3 linked regions of the Neurospora crassa OR74A genome follow. The protein of the gene in region 1 interacts with the protein of each later gene in a pairwise test. Links are inferred from orthologs where the notes say so. Each region holds a gene or a part of one and is shown in the gene's direction. Other genes may lie near its edges.

Region 1 (5,521 bases):
GTACCACTGAGATCATCTTTGTTACTCATATGTCGACACTCTTCCATCCATCTACCTCTTTTGAGCAAGACCCTTTGTTTACTAATGAATTGACATCGGTTATGACATCTCGACCGTACCGCTCAAGTGACCACAATCACAAATCCCTTATGTTCCCCAACTTGAAAGCCCACATCAGGCTACCAAGTGAGCGGACTCATGCGGTCGTTCTTCAAATGGCTGTTCTGTCTTCCTACCCCTCGACCTCCTGAAACTCAACAGCTCCACGATGACGAGGACCATGAGAATGAAACCAAGAATCATGAAGGGAATAAGGTTGTAGCGCCATCCGCGCATGGTTCTCAATTTCTTCTTCAGTATGTCGTGATCGTCGCTGTGGACAAGTGATAGACTGTTGACCAGCGTATACCAGTTCTCCGGGGTCCAAGAGTCCCGTGGGTACGGCTTCGGAGCACTGCCTTCTGCGTAGGCGAGGTCGATACCCTGATCCGAATGCTTGTTGGTCAGGACATAGGTATAGATCAGAGCCGTGAGAGTAAGAAGCCAGCTGAGAATCGTGATAAGGGCCCAGAGATAGTAGAATGGCGATGTTTTCCCGTACTGCCACAAGGTTAGTACCATAGACGCACACTGCACAATGATTCTACGAGAATGAACACATACCTTTGCCCTGGACCTATGCTCCAACCACAAAGCTAGGAGGCCACCGAACCCTACAAGGACGACGCCCGTACCTCCTGCTGCATTTGTCGTGTGGCCGTGGTCCGTCAAAAGATGTGCAGGTTCTCCGGGAAGGTCGAAGACCGAACCAAGTCGTCGGACCTCGAATGGTTGGCCGCCGCGTCCATGAAGAAATGCCACCATTGACGAGACAAGGGATAATGAGATGGCTGCGTCAACGTAAAGCAAAAACAAAGCCACATAGATGGCTTTCATGAGCCTGCTTGAAGCCATTGTGAACGAATCCCACTAGGGCTGAGGGAATAGAAGAGCTTAACAGTGTGAAGAAGGACAAGAACAGTTGGGGTCTTGATATGGCAAAGTGCAATGTGGTTGGGGCCTGTCCAAGTTACCCCAGATATTGACAACAGCGCCAGCCGTCTTATATGAGAGCGGACCGACTGCGGTCGTGCCGGTGTGTCTTTTCTCTCGTTGGGCGAAAGGCCTTCTCTCAGCCGTCTTTGGGGACGCGGATTGGGTCCCATTTCCAAATGTGGTGGTTGTCAGCTTGTCCACACGTAAGCACACAAAACTGACACTGCCTCTTCATGATGTGCAGTGAGATTGGCTCGACCGGGTACGTACTTCTCTTCTTTGTTCCAAAGGAGGGATATCACTGCGTATGCCCAGCCAACGCCACGAGAACCCTTCCATATGAGAGATGCCTAGTCTGCAGCATGGAACTGCCACGCGCTGATCCGTGGAAGCAAAGCATCCAGCACGAGGCTCGGCTCGCTTCGCAAGGTTGTAACCCGTTTTGTGGCTATACACAACAGAGCTTGCCTTGTCAGATATGGGATATTGTGACGTCCTGTACCGACGAATACTATTCTTTGTTGGGAGTTATTCGAGGCCGGTCGCAACCTTGAGAGTAAAAAGAGTCCAGTCCCCACTGGAGGATAGAAATTGACCGTGTCTCACGGCATATGGCGTTGAAGCCAACTGCATCATAGGCGGACAGGAAGAGACCATACTTCTCAGCCCGGTGGAATAGTAGCGCCACGCTTTGAAGGTAAGAGCCAAAATAGGAAACTTGCCTCTCGGCCATCGTCATTAGGCATATAAGCAGAGAAATGCTGAACGATACAGCAACAGAACCACAGTTCATGGATTGGCAAGCTAACCGGCAACTCAACAGGAGTTTATCCTGTTTTCTTCTTCTTCTTGAACCTGGGACAACGAAGGACAAAGAAATGATGCATTTGCAACTTCTGAACAGAACGGGATAGTCTCATCGAGAAAAAAAAAAGAACATAAAAAGCCCCCAAATATCGCGGTGCCGACAAGGGCTGTTTGGAGGAAGCATTTAACACAACCCCGAGATTCTCTCGTCAACTCCTAACCCTCACCAGCCACCCCGACAGCTGGGTACTTGCTGCTACAAGAATATTGCCCAAAGGCTATGCACTGATCAAATCGTAGTGGGGTGGTCGACGTAGTGCCGCCCCACTGCCTATCGATAAACGAGTTATCGTAGGAATCGTCGCCAGGGCAGCTTCCATTTGGTAGGTAGGTCGGGTAGCTTTAGTGTACGGGACGAACTCCAGAAGCTTGTGTCAACACATCCTCCCGTCCCGTCCCTCCCCATCGTTCGTCTGAAAAATAACCTTCACACGAAAGTACACATATCATTCACACACACATAAACACACACAATGCTCTCTAGGATAACACAACGTATGGCGCTAAAGAGGGCGCTGGCGAGGCCTTCCCCTTGCGCCAAGGGCCGCGCTCAACCCCAGAGGAGATCTCTCACATCGGCACCCAGGCCTGGCGATGGTCCGTTGATGGAGAGGCGAGCTGATCGTGAACTTCCTGGTATGTTCTCCCCGTGTCTCTTCTTCTTCTTCTTCTCTTCTCTGTGTTCTGTATTTCCTGCTGTTTCCGCACCCCAATTGAGTTCCTTAGTACCATGGAAGTTACTGACCCCTCTTCCCTTTGCAACCACAAAAACAGATGTCCAAACCTCCCGCTTCCGCTGGTCCCGCACCTTCCCCATCTTCTTGGGCATCGTAGCCGCCACCTCGATCGCAATCTTCAACTACCAGAAACTCTCTTCCCCCGTGGTCGAGTCAACCCTCTATGCGCTGCGCACGAACCAGCGCGCGCGCGAGTACCTGGGTGACGAGATCTACTTCAAGGCGCAGATTCCGTGGATCTCGGGCGAGATGAACCAGCTGCACGGCCGCATCGACATCAAGTTCAATGTCAAGGGCACCAAGCGCACGGGCGTGATGCGCTTCGCCAGCTTCCGGCCCACGCCCCGAGGCATGTTCGAGACGACCGAGTGGAGTCTGGAGACGGAGGACGGCAAGGTCATTGACCTGCTGGAGGAGGGCGATCCGTTCAGAGCTATCAACGGCCGTGCGATGGAACCTGAGCTGGATGATGATGCAGAGGATGCGAAGGTCAGGGGTTTCAGGCAGATGCCCAAGTAATTGTTTTGGGGTGCTCTTAAGGAGGGAATAGTTTTGAAAAAAGGGAGGATATATATGGGAACCGGGGAAGGTGGTGGTCCCCCTCTCCCCCTCTCAAACAGGATGAGCTGAAGGACAGGATCGTGGTCTGGCTCTCTGATTGAATACCCGAAGGCTGTCAAGGAGGAATATGTGTAAGATATAGGGAGAGAACATACGAACCTATCACGGGCAAGGGTTGTATGTTCAAGTTGTTATACATTTTCGGTAGCTGTACATTTTAACACCCCACGATGCGTGTGTATCATACAAGAGAGAACTAAAAAAAATGAGAAACCGGGAAGGCTTTACCATACATTCCCTTCCATAAACCTAGTACAAACACATACTACAGACCAGAGACAGCCCCCCTCTCTTAAGCCGAAGCTTCTACCGCAGCATTTCCATCCGCCTTCTCTGTCAGCCCATTCTTGATGAGCGAATCTATCAGGCCCTGTCTCCTCGCCTCCTTGAGCTCCAAGTGCAACTTCCTCGCCGCCTGCAACTTCTCCTCCGCATCAGGGAACCGCTCGTTGAGGAGCTGCTTGGTGGCCTCGACAAACTCCTCCGGGGGAGGAGCCTTCTTGACAGCATCCTGAACCTTGACAACCGCACCCTTGTGACCAGCGACCGCGCCCTTGACCACCACGATGCCGAGCTCGTTGTCCACCATCAGAATGGGCAGGTTCTGGACCGTGTGCTGCTGCGCGCCCATGCGACCGGGCATCTTCTTGCCGGGCAACACACGCGAACCGGAGCCCTGCGAACCACCGACGGAACCAATGGTACGGTGGTTCAGCGAGTTACCGTGCGACGCCTCCTGACCGGCGAAGCCGTGACGCTTCATACCACCGGCAAAACCCATACCGCGCGTGATGCCGCGCACGTCCACCACCTGGCCGACGTGGAACCAGTCCGGAAACAGCTGGACGCCGACCGGCAACAAGCCGTCCTGGTTGCGCACCTTGAACTCGGCGAGCGTCTGCTTGGGCGGGATGCCCTTGGCCTCGTAGTAGCCGAGCTGCGGGGCGCCCACGTTTTCGGCGCGGCGCTCGCCCAGGCCAACCTGGACGGCCCAGTAGCCGTTCTTGGCGCGCGTCTTGTTGGCGACGACTTGGACCCGGTCGAGCTGCAGAACGGTGCAGGGGATGCGGGCGCCGGTGCGGCCCATGAAGACGGTCATGCCCTTCTTGACAGCGAGCACGCCGGTGCGCAGGGGTGTAGTCTTCTCGCGGCGCTTGAGGGCAGCGGCCGGGCCCGAGGTGGGCGCCGGAAGACCCTGCGTCACTTGGTTGAATCGTGTGGGCCTGCTGCGCTTCGGGAGCGTGCTCCAGCCGTACTTGACGCCGCGCTTTGTGATCTGAGGGAGGAGGGAGGGAAAGACAGTCGATGGCGAGGAGGCGGAGAAGGTGGGTGTGGTCCGGCCGGCGAGGAGGAGGGAGCTGGCGGCGGCGGTGGTTGTGGTGTGGGTGGCTGACCTCTCGACGAGGGAGAGCTGCCTCCAGCAGCGCGCGGGCAGCCGGGGCGCCATCGTGTATGTGTATAAGTCTGAGGGGAGGGTTGGGTGGTGTTGTGTTGCTTTTGGTGGGGTTGGTCGCAGTCAATTGGACCTGACGGTGTTCGTTGTATCGATGTCGGGGCCCCGGAGCGTCGAGTGGGGGGAATGGAAAGGACACCGGCTGTCTTCGAGACGCGAACCGGAGGGGGCGGAGTTGGGAGGTCGTTTCGGCGCGCGGCCGTTGAGGTGGTTTTGGGGCGGGTGCGGGAGTGGTGGTCGCCGGCTCGAAGCACGGAGCAGCAGAAATTTGATAGCCACTCAGAAATTCAGTAACGGGATGCTCCCCCCCCGATAACGTCGATCGGTTCGGCATCCGGGGATTCACAATTGACAGGGGAGGGGCGGCTATTCACAGGCGGGTACTATGTATTTGGCGGATTGTGGTGTACAGAGTGTGACATCTCTACAAGAAGGGTTAGGGTTAATTGCTTCTTTCTATTCACTTAGGTAGTTTTACTTCCGCTGGAGTGCGGGCGCATTTTACCGCATTGGATCCCCCAAACTCAACCGCTAAAACATCTTCACTCGAACCACCACCACACAGCCCCAGAGAAGAAATCGCGTTTTTGCATCTTGGTTTCCCTTCTTGCACGAAGTGTCTTTTTCATTGTCGCCGTTTTGAGATACCCAATATTCCCATCTTTCATTTCTTCCAAAGGCATCAGCAACCATGGTCTTCTATTTCACTTCGACCGTCGTCAGTCCCCCGGCTTTCATTTATGTGGGGAAAGACAAGTTTGAGAGTACGTGAAGATGATCATCAGCCACAATTGGTGGTATTCTGCAT
Region 2 (5,352 bases), on another chromosome or scaffold:
CGTGGTGGCTGCAACGGTCAAAAGTGCCGTCGCCGCGGTGGTGCTGGTTGCAAGCGTGCCCAGCGCCACGGCAAAGACGAAGCTGAGGCCCCTGTTGAAGAGAAGGCTGGTTTGTTGAATGCGCAGGAGCCCGAGGCTGAGGTTGAGGCGCCCCCGGCTTATGAGGATGCCAAGGTTGCTGAGGAGGGGGAGGTCAAGAAGTGAAGATTGACTCGACTCGAGTGTTCGGCATGCCGTTCCGAAACAACAGGATGAGAGGAAGTCAGGAAGGAAATCAGGAAGGAAGTCAGGAAGGGAGAAAGGATGATACCATACGTGAGATACCATACGATTTGTGGCAGCGGAAGGCTGAGATGGATGGTCAAGCTACACCAGATTGTCACGCACATTAAGCAAATAACTGACTAGGTACGCTCCTTGGGCAAATACCATTTCAACTTGTTTTACACAGAAACTGTTAGCAGACATATATGTCTGACCACTGCTAGCTCGCTTGGGTTGATGGGTGATACTATTGTCATGATGTTATTGTGCTGCTAGTAAGGTAAGATCATCATCTTTCGCTGAGCCTGTCTCTCTACCCTTGCCAGGGCGGCGGAAAAAAACAACAACAAAAAGTGCTAATGCGGTTGCCCGTAATCCAATTCTCTGCCTTGTCCACTCCTCGTTCTTCCCAATGATGAAACTGAAACCCCATATTCTGTTCGTCGCGCAATGCCAAATCCGTTGGTCTGTTGGTTAAGTAGTTACCTAATTACACGCCAACTTCTTCTCCAGTCGACGAAGCCATGCGAGTTTCTGTCTGTCCCCTTCCTTACACCATCCCCTGCCCCCTCTCAGTTCTAGCCCTTCTCCACCTTCTCGCCCACGCCGCAAGACCCTGGAGGGGAACTTTGATCATGACTTCGTATGCATCCTTCCAACCAAGTTCTTCTGGCTCTTCTTCCTCTTCTGGCTGTTTGTCGGTAGAGGTGGTGGTTATGAACTGTTGCTTTTGGCAGAGGTAGTTGAGCCTGTCGATGTCGAGCCCGGTTTCGAGCTCGGGGAGAAGGTTGAAGTTGATTGTGGCTGTGCGTGTTGGATTGAGGAGGTTGGGGGTGTTGTTGTTGTTGTTGTTGTTGTTGTTGATATTGTTGGAGGGGGTTGAGGAGTTGTTGGTGAGGAAGTTGGTTGCGTTGGCAGTAGATGATGGAGACACTGGCGGCAGTGTAGTAGTAGTTCTGGCTGTGGTAGGTTGAGCCGTAGCGGGAAGTGGAAGGCCGATGGCGTGTTGCCCTTGATGATCGGGTGCGGAGGAGGCGTAGCTCGACAGGGTGCTGAGGCTGCCAGCCCCTGGAGAAGACATCTTGGGCGTTTCTTGAGTCGAGCAGCTCTGTACTTATGGATGTGGTATATAGTACCGAGTATTTGATAGTGTTGTTGATGTCAAGTAAAACGAAGGAGGGCAGGCTACTAGAGGTTGGGCGGATCGATGTTGGGTTAGGTTTGTGATTACCTAGGTAGCGAGCGGGAAGCAGAAGATGGAAAGTGCACTTTCTTTCGAGCCTGAAGTGGTTTCCTTAGTTTTCAAGTGGTTTGAGAAAGCAGTAAGAAGTCTTGCTTTGATACACACGAGCGGGTTACCTCTTAGGTATGAAGCCCCAAAACGGGGCCTGCTCTATGCCCGTGAAGAAGCACCTGGAAGTATTTATTATTATTTCTTTTTTTTTTTATCTTCCGGACCTGGCCTGCCTTACCTTGTTTTGAAGCTGCATTCAGGTGCTTCACTGCGAAATCAGGAGGGGTGGCTAATCATCAGCACAGCCCCAGAAGCAAGGCTTCCACTTTACATTCAAATCAGCAAACGAATCTGAAGACTAGAGTTGTACACCACCGACAGTCCCAAGTAACACACAGCCTGGTGAATCTCACATCTATGGACCATCAAGGTGTTTGTCGTCCGTCTTCAAAATGACCCCCACGGTCCCTTAGCAACCATCCATCACTTACACGACCCCTGGTGCCAAGCATTGGTGGGGCGGCGCTCAGGAACTGCACCCAGCGGCCCCGGCCATTCGGATGGAAACGCCCCACACCCACACCCACCACCACCAGCGGCAGCGGGGCATCGCCCAGAATTGGACTTTGATCGGAGCAAAACAGCAGCTCCACCGAGAACTTTCCTGTGTCCGGCAAATGACGAAGTTTGTCCGCATCTTTCCCCAGCTCCATTTTCGTCACATGCCGCTGTTTATGGTTGCTCGTTGTTGTTGTTGTCGTTGTTAGCAGCAGCCTCCGATTCGTTCTCTCAGTCACCACCACATAACTACCTACAGTACCTATCTACCTCTTCGGCCGATCGATCAACCGACCGACGAAACGAACGAACGGACAATGGCGGCCAGCGGGAGCATATTCCAGTGCCTCCTGCGCACGTCGCAACAGAGCTTGGGAAAGAGGATAATCCTCCAAAGACAAACAGCAGCAGCCCACGCAGCAGCTGCGACGCGATTCACGACAGCTAGACTCGGCAGAAACCCTGCCTCTAGTCCCCGCCGCCAATTCACCACCTCGTCCACACGCCGACAGACTCAACAACCCGGCGATGATCCCAACTTTACTTCCATCCTCGATAACCCTCCCGAGCTTGTGCGGACCGGCAGGAGACATGGCAAGGGGTTGATTATCCTGGGTATGTCCTGATTGAGTCCCAACCATCTACAATCTCAGCATGCGCTATGCAGCCGTAACACTGACTAACGCATTTACCTCCTCCTCCTCCTCCTCCTCCCCACAGCCATCATCCCCATCACTGCCCTCTTTCTCGGAACCTGGCAAGTCTACCGACTAAAATGGAAGACGGACCTGATCGCCAAATGCGAGGACCGCATCATCCGGGACCCTCTCCCCCTTCCCCCCCGCGTGGACCCGGCCGCCATCGCCGACTTCGACTACCGCCGCGTCTACGCCGAGGGCGTCTACCGACACGACCAAGAGATGCTGATCGGCCCGCGCATGCGCGACGGCGAACAAGGGTACATGGTTGTTACGCCCCTGGAGAGGGGAGATGATCCGAGCTCCAAGGTGTTGGTCAACAGAGGGTGGGTGAGTAAGAAGTTTGCGGACCAGAGGAGCAGGCCGGATTCCGTCAAGCAGGGCGAAAAGGTCCGTGTGGAGGGCATGCTGAGAGAGCCGTGGAAGAAGAATATGTTCACGCCGGACAACAGGCCGGATATTGGCGAGTTTTATTTCCCGGATGTGAAGCAGATGGCCGAGTTGACGGGCAGTCAGCCGGTGTGGATTGAGCAGACTATTGGTGGGTATCTCTGTTTTCTTCTCTGCCAGTTTTGGACGTGGCTGGCCTGGCCTGCGTCCTATAATGGTATGATGGCTATTCTAGCTAGGTATGGTACTAACGTATGTTTGTGCGCAGTTCCCGATATTATCACCGTCTATGACTACGAGGCGCGTGGTATCCCTATCGGTAGAGTCGCCGAGGTCAACCTTCGCAACAACCATGCGCAGTACATCTTTACTTGGTATGTTCTTAAGCGATGCTTCACCTCCTTCCAATTCTTGACGTACCCCTGCGGTATCGCATATCAGTGCCCGACTAACTGGTACTTAGGTACGGTCTCGCTGCTGCCACCTCCATCATGTTCTGGCTCGTGGTCAAGAAGCCTGCGAACCAGATTACCAAGCGCGTTCGCATGAACAAGAGCTGGTAAACATGAGTTTGTGAGTGGGCAGTGATAGCTTTGCTTTGTCACACATCAATGGTAACAAACACTCTCACGTCACCTCTTCGTCTTCGCCGCCAACCCCAGCACGGCTAGAAGAGGCAGCCTTTCGGCGCTTCTTGACCGGAACAGGCGGCGTCATCCTCAGTTCCTGGAGGAGCTCTCTGGGAAGGTATCGTTGCGCCAAGGCAAACGGCGTGGTTTGTGCGTTGGTTTGACGTTGTCTATGGAAACAAAAATGTAAGTCAGTCCGTCGTGTACAATAGCTCGAAAAAAGTGTACAAAGAACACTACACAGGATATAAACAATCGGATACCCAGGGATCAAAGCAAAAGCGCCAAAACATACCTCTTCATCAATGTAAGCATATCACTCATATCGATAGTTTTGCGATGGGCGTGCTTTGCGTACGCCGACAAGTCATCTCCCAACTGCTCAAAGAACCAGTCCGAAGCCTGCATGATTGCCTTGAGCGCCTCAGGCGAGATGTTTCCCTTCGCGCCGCTCGTCTTGGCGAATGTTTGCGCCAGCCGCTTGATCATGGCCGGAGGTAATGATGTGTACTCGATGCCGTGTTTGGAGATCTTTTTGGTGGCTTTGATCTTGGAGAAGCCCCCTCGTTCACCACCCTCTTCCCGAAACAATCCGAGTTTCTCCCGCGCCGCCGAAGCTGAAAGTGATACCCTCGCCGCCGTTGGTGTGTAGCCTGATAATCTCGTCATCTCCTCATCCGAGCCTGCCTGGCCCTGGTCGTCTTGGTTGTTATCCAGATCCATGGCCATACCGTCGTCGTTATCATAATCGTCGTATGCTGGTCCAACATCATTTCCGTCATCGTCATTGTTGTCGTAACTGTCGCTCCTCTGGTCCATCAACTCCGCGAAACCTCCACCTTGGCCGCTTGTTGCCGCCGCTTCAGCAGCTTGACCCATCTCAAACTGCCTCGTAGGCGAAGCAATCATAAACGTGCTCTCGTCCATCCCCACCGGCACCTCAATGTGGAAATCACTATCCCTCCCTCCAGCTCCCAGCAGCAGCCCCATCCCTCCTTCCCCACCTATCGTCTCCCGTCTCCTCGTCTCGTCCGAGTCCAGCCTGCTAAACTCATCCGGTATCCTATCCTCGGCATTTCCAAAGTCGTCCTCATCAATTGCAGCAGGCGGAAAGAACCCCGAATCGATCCCATCACTCTGTTGTTGTTGTTGCTGTAGCTGCGGGAAATCACTCAACCGCCCCATCGAATCCCTCATCCTTTGTTGATCCTTCTCCGGATCCACCCGTCTCGGCAACTCGATACTCTGCACCGTAAAGTTCTCCGTCAGATCTTCGAGTCCTGCACTCCGATGTGGTTGCGGCAGTTCATCATCATCTTCCCAATCATCGCCCTCCCCATCCCCCACCCCTAAGCCCAAGCTGAGTCTCGGCCTCTTAGGCAACTCCTCCTCCTCGTCGTCCTCATCTCCATACCTACTCCGCGTGGATATGTCAAAGGTCAACTCCTCCGACGTGTCCCCCTCCTCTTGCTCTTGTCTTCCCCCAGCAGCAGCAGCAGCAGCAGATCCAGAAAGCGCCGAAGCAGGACTCGAACTACTACTCGGGATCCTCTCACTCTTGGGCGCCAAGACTTTGCCT
Region 3 (5,055 bases), on another chromosome or scaffold:
ACCAATGCTGAGAACCAATGTTCCATTTGTGAATGACAGCACAATATAAGCATCGTACTGATCGTACTTGGTCAACTTAGTCGTCCATACAGCAGAAGGTGTACCCGGAAGCTCCGAAGCGACAATTTCAGACACTTCGAGTCCGTGCTTCAACATGCGGAAAGTACTCCGCGCCCCATTTCCACAGACAGAGTAGATCTGGGGCGCGTCCTCTCCCGTCAGATTCGCAACCTTGCAGTCGACCTGAGGGTTCATCGAATCAATGCTCTCAACCAGGACCAGATTTTCAAGTGGCCTGGGGTGGAAGTACACCGGGTTATATGAGGCGGTAGGGTCTGTCGGGAAGTCGTCGCTGCTGAACTCGAGCTCCTCGTCATCGTCTCCGAGCTTTTCAAATTGGTAAAAGTGATGGTTTCCAAACTCGCTAGCGGCGAACAGGAAGCCGCTCTTCAGGATGCAAAGACTAGTGGCTACTGGTATCGTGTCGAAGTACTTGATCTTGAGGCGCTTGACCTCTCCGGTGGGGTTGCCGTCACTATCTTCGATCATGTCAATGGTGACTTTGAAGAGATCTCCATCGTCCGTCTGAAGAAGGAAGAAAAAGGCGCCCGCGCTTCCCTTGAGCTTGTGCATAACGCCAGAGACGATAACCCGCTTCCTCTGAGGATCTTCGGTGGCACCGCTGCGTCTAGGGATGGGGACGCGGAAAGCCTCTTGATTCGAGTGCCGATAGGTGACATTTTCCTCGCCGCACACCAAGACACCGCTGGGACCGTCATTGCCGCCGGGTACTTGGAAGAGAAGTGAAGAAGTGCGATCGACAGTATCTGACCACTTGCGTACAACGTGGTTCAGGCCCAGATCAAGCTCGTAATATACCAGCTGTGTCTCGACTTCTTCTCGTGCTTGGCCCGTAGGATCTTGGTCCGCGTCCGTGTAGTCCAGTTCCAACGCAGCGAAAACGGGGTTTGCGTAACCAACGTCAAGGGCAACAAGAGACAGCACCAACACGCCTGGCTTGTGGGCTTCCAGTGGTGACGAGATGGTAAGCTCGGCCTGTGAGTTTCGGTTGAGAACATAGACCAGCTTGTTCTTTTCGAGTGCCGAAATGAGGCATGCTCTTCCCTTTGGATCTGCGGCTAAGTACTGGCCGGGGATGACTCGGCGGACGCCCGATTTGCCGAAAGTCTCGAGGTGGATGCGCTGAAACTTGTTCGTCTTGGGGAGATACTCGATAATCGTAATGCGGCCCGAATCAGTGGCGAGGATAATGTAGTCTGGGTGGCACAGGGTTTTAGCACAATCCCGCTACCGATTTGAATGAGTCTCTCAAGTCCCCAGAAGACTCGTAGGCCTGGGTGCATGGTGCGTGACCATACGTGTGGCCCCTCTACCCAGAAGCACCTGGGGAACGGATCCAGAATCACTATATTGCCCAACACAGGAGGTGGCGGGGAGGTTACTCACCCTTGTGGCTGCCGGCCAGACGGAACGACGCGATGGCGCGTACGATGCCGAAGATGTCATGAGACAACAGGGTGTTGACCTTGCCCTGACGGGGATCAGGCTGAAGGAGGGTTAGACGCGATCCAGACGCCGTAAGAATCTGCTGTTCCTTGGTTCCCGAGAACTGACCAAGCAGAGCCTGCGTGACAGCGGTGGGTGGCTGGATGGTCAAGGAATACAGGAACATGTTCGACGTAGTCGCCATGGCTGCAACTGGGCGCAGACAGCCGGCGCGGCTCTGCTTTCTCGAGGTTGTTTTTGCAAGTGGGTAGGACTCGGTTGTGCTCTGTCAATGCTGCCGTCGTTATGTTGAGAAGACCAATGCGCGAAAGTCAGCCAGATTGTCGAAAATCTAGAGTTGAATATCGAGTAGATGATTGTAACACGGCAAAAAAAAATGAAACACGGTCCAGTGTTCTGGCACTCTGGCGAGGTAGATGGAGTCGGTTGCCGTCGATGGTATTTCTGGCCAATTGGTGCAGTCCAGTCACTCAGGTTGCAGCGGTACGTCGGACTCGGTCCACGGTAGGTCGTAGACGCCGCCCACTCATCTTCCCGCCTCGCGACTGTGGCTTGCTCGTAGCTCTCTGACCCGCATACGTAACGTCAGACGGAGCTTACCTAGGCACAATTGTGGCTGGTGAAGCAAGAACAAAGTGGGTCATTCGATGGACGGGACCCGCCTAGGCACTTAGGCACAGTAGAGGTAGGTAGCGAGTCGGGTCGGTGGGAGAGGACCCCGGATTGCTGGGAGCTGCTGCCAAAAAGTCAATTGGAAAGTCGCATCGAGTCCCGGCGATCCAGATTCCCGATCGAACATCATCCGACCTCTTGAACTCCCAATGGCCCTCCCAGCAGACCGCGCCGTGCGTCCGGCCTTGTCCAAGCTTTGCTCGCAATGCTCGACTTTCACAGCTAGACAGAGCAGGCAAAGTGCTGCGTTTTTGCAGTCAGCCCAGCAACGCTCCGTCAGCTCCATCCGAGGGGCACAGAGCTCTTCCTCGTCTTCGACGCAAGTCGGCGGCATCACCAGAACCATTTCGCGTCCGATCCAGGCTTCGATCACAAGCAAGCTTCCTTCCGTTGCTGCCCAGTCCAGAACCAAGGCCAGCAGCTCGACATCGTTTGCCACCAACGAGGATCTGGCCGGTAGTGGTATCCCCTCGAAGCCGATTCTCGAGCAGGACAACCTCTTCCACTCCTTCACCAACTCGCCCATCCCCAAGATCCGCCAGCGCGCGGCCTTCATAAGACAGCACGCCAGCTGCCCCCACCATAGCCACCGCCCAGGGCAGTTCTCCGAGACCAACCGCCAAGTCGATACCGAGTCTGGCTCCCAGCCGCCGAAGCACGTCGATTTCGAGTGCCCTGACTGTGGCATCCCGGTATATTGCAGCGAGCAGCATTGGATGGACGACTATGAGAAACATCTCGAGATATGCGACACTCTGCGGCAGATCAATGAAGATGACCATGACCTCCATTCAGGCCGCCACTTCTACGAGTTCAACTACGCCGGTCCGCAAATGGATGATGCCATGGTCAACATGACCAACTGGGACACGTTCATGTATACCCGTCAGTTCGAAGCTGTCAACGATGACCGGTGCATGAGACAGGCGACTAGGTTGTTGACCTATCCTCTCACGATCGGCAGCGTTCTTCACGAGTTGAGCCCGTACCACATCCGGAATCGCCTCACGGTCGAGGGCTTAAAGAGTTTGACGGCACTTCGCTATACCCTGCATCCTCCCAAAACTGGAGGCAACGAGTCTATCAAGGGTCTTCGGCCTGAGGCGCCCCCCGTGCGTGTCTTTATTCTCGGTGCTCGCGCTGAGTCGTCGCTGCCTAGAGATGCTTGGGTGCAGTTGGCCCATCTCTTCCCCCTGTCGAGACTCCATCTGATTTTCATCGGACCCGAGAGCATGATGAACCGCGATGACGAATTTCCCCTCCCGCCTCGTACTCCCGAGAATCCTTACGGTGCGGTTGTGGAGGATCGCGTATGGCCTACCATGAAGATCAGCACCATTGTGGATTATTACCATACTATCCACAAGACGGGTTATTTCGCTCCTCACGATCCTTACTTCGACTGCTTCGTCCTCTTCCACCCTGGTTTGGGCCACCCGGCAAGCTCCCACGAATGGGAGGAAACGCTGCCTATGCTTCTCGAGACCAAAGCTCCTATCATTGCTACGGGCTACACGCAGGCTGACATGGAGCGTGATGTCGAGTGGGTCAACAAGAAGGCCAAGGGTGAATTCGACATTCTCATGGAGCCTGGCGAGAACATCTTCCGCAGTCTCCGGTGGGATCTGAATGATCTTGACCCTCAGGACGTCAGTGCCGGTAACTGGGGTGTGTGGGCCTTCCGCGGAAAGAGGTTGGTGCTCTCTTGATTTTTTTCCCCCGCACAACTAGATACGGTTCGAGAGCTAACAGAGTTTGTTTTAGGTACGAGGCTACCGTCAAAGACAACGTCATTGCTGTATAGATGAGCCATGCGTATGCTGGTCGTTGCATCCTGTAAGATGTAGTAGGTGTTGGCAACCGGGCTGTTAGGAGCCCAGACTGTATAATAGGAATATCGAACAAACGCATTGTCACGACCATATCGGCTTTTTACACTTCAAGACTTTGTGGTATCTTTTCCGTTTCTAACGGTACGGGCTGGATGTTACGGATGTCGGATCCAAGGTGTGTGTTCAAAATCTTTTGGACTGCACAGTCTGATAATCTCGTAGTTGTGGGCCTAGGGAGGCACTGATCTGCAACGGTCAGGCTCGGGCCGCATGCAGCAAGTGCCTTGTGTCACGGCAGTCTGCTGTGGCAAGGGTGATGACAGCTTGAGCCTCATCGACGACAGACGGTTTTTTTTTTTCAAGCACTTTTTGTCCGTCTCACGCAACACCTTGCACCGCGCAGTAAATTTCGGTCAACGTTTGTCAAGCGAAGTGCAACGATAACAAACTTCAGGCGTGGAGATTCCTAACCTGCCAGCAGCAGTGTGTATCCTTGGTAAGAAACGAAAACTACCCACATGCTGGAAGATGACTCGCACCGACTTGACTAGAGTTAAAGGAATTTAAAAGCGGTCGAGGATGCGGTGCCGCCTTAGCTGCGTAAGTCAAAGGTGTGTGCTTTGTTGACATTCATTCAGGGGAAGCTCGACGACTTCAAGGGGTGATCGGTTCCATGCTACGGGCAACGACCATGCTTGGTCTTGGCTAACCTCACCGCCTACCCGTTTCGGACAGGTATTGGCTGATAAGCGGCAGGGTGCTTCCTTATCACCTGGGCTACTGCCGCTGTTGGCTGGGGTCGCCGGCCATCCACCACAGGTGCGGGACAGGCGTGGACGGAACACAAGACCGGACCACTCGCTACCTATCAACATGCACCCAGCACCACCTGTTCACCAACCACTGCACCGCGCAACACGCACAATCACACCTCGACGATTTTCTCTTGTCTTCCGCCTCTCGCGCTTCAAAGAGCTGCCAGGCTCTGAATTGTCATAAAGAGTGGACGGCGCTATGATATGAG

What was found.
Region 2: the proteins of NCU06748 (region 1) and NCU02162 interact in binary tests that used the Saccharomyces cerevisiae proteins (3 or more experiments, as listed by UniProt). The link is inferred for Neurospora crassa OR74A from reciprocal best matches to the Saccharomyces cerevisiae genes COA1 and SHY1.
Region 3: the proteins of NCU06748 (region 1) and NCU00395 interact in binary tests that used the Saccharomyces cerevisiae proteins (3 or more experiments, as listed by UniProt). The link is inferred for Neurospora crassa OR74A from reciprocal best matches to the Saccharomyces cerevisiae genes COA1 and MSS51.

What each region holds. Positions count from the first base shown.
Region 1 is NC_026502.1:2,066,993-2,072,513, reverse strand, and holds NCU06748 (hypothetical protein), read left to right. Parts: upstream 1-2,212; 5' UTR 2,213-2,375; coding exon 2,376-2,538; intron 2,539-2,676; coding exon 2,677-3,158; 3' UTR 3,159-3,552; coding exon of another isoform or gene 3,553-4,707; 3' UTR 4,708-4,834; downstream 4,835-5,521. Other genes in the region: NCU06747 (hypothetical protein), read right to left, coding at 175-600, 664-954; NCU06749 (mitochondrial 54S ribosomal protein YmL9), read right to left, coding at 3,553-4,707; NCU06750 (coiled-coil domain-containing protein 25), read left to right, coding at 5,405-5,477. UniProt on the Saccharomyces cerevisiae protein: Required for efficient assembly of cytochrome c oxidase in the mitochondrial inner membrane. Involved in a step coupling MSS51-dependent cotranslational insertion of COX1 to the addition of its heme A and copper B cofactors.
Region 2 is NC_026501.1:1,040,303-1,045,654, forward strand, and holds the start of NCU02162 (SURF-family protein), read left to right. Parts: upstream 1-1,944; 5' UTR 1,945-2,373; coding exon 2,374-2,671; intron 2,672-2,776; coding exon 2,777-3,295; exon of another isoform or gene 3,296-3,412; coding exon 3,413-3,518; exon of another isoform or gene 3,519-3,607; coding exon 3,608-3,707; 3' UTR 3,708-3,771; coding exon of another isoform or gene 3,772-3,943; 3' UTR 3,944-4,068; coding exon of another isoform or gene 4,069-5,352. Other genes in the region: NCU02164 (hypothetical protein), read left to right, coding at 1-204; NCU02163 (hypothetical protein), read right to left, coding at 815-1,345; CEN-T, read right to left, coding at 3,772-3,943, 4,069-5,352. UniProt on the Saccharomyces cerevisiae protein: Required for efficient assembly of cytochrome c oxidase in the mitochondrial inner membrane. Involved in a step that couples MSS51-COX14-dependent regulation of COX1 translation to early steps of cytochrome c oxidase assembly.
Region 3 is NC_026503.1:3,705,436-3,710,490, reverse strand, and holds NCU00395 (mRNA processing protein), read left to right. Parts: upstream 1-2,215; 5' UTR 2,216-2,348; coding exon 2,349-3,892; intron 3,893-3,963; coding exon 3,964-4,003; 3' UTR 4,004-4,203; downstream 4,204-5,055. Other genes in the region: NCU00396 (pre-mRNA-splicing factor rse-1), read right to left, coding at 1-1,277, 1,468-1,711. UniProt on the Saccharomyces cerevisiae protein: Has a dual role in the assembly of cytochrome oxidase subunit 1 (COX1). It has a regulative function on COX1 synthesis, acting as a translational activator specific for the COX1 mRNA, and it also binds to newly synthesized COX1 protein.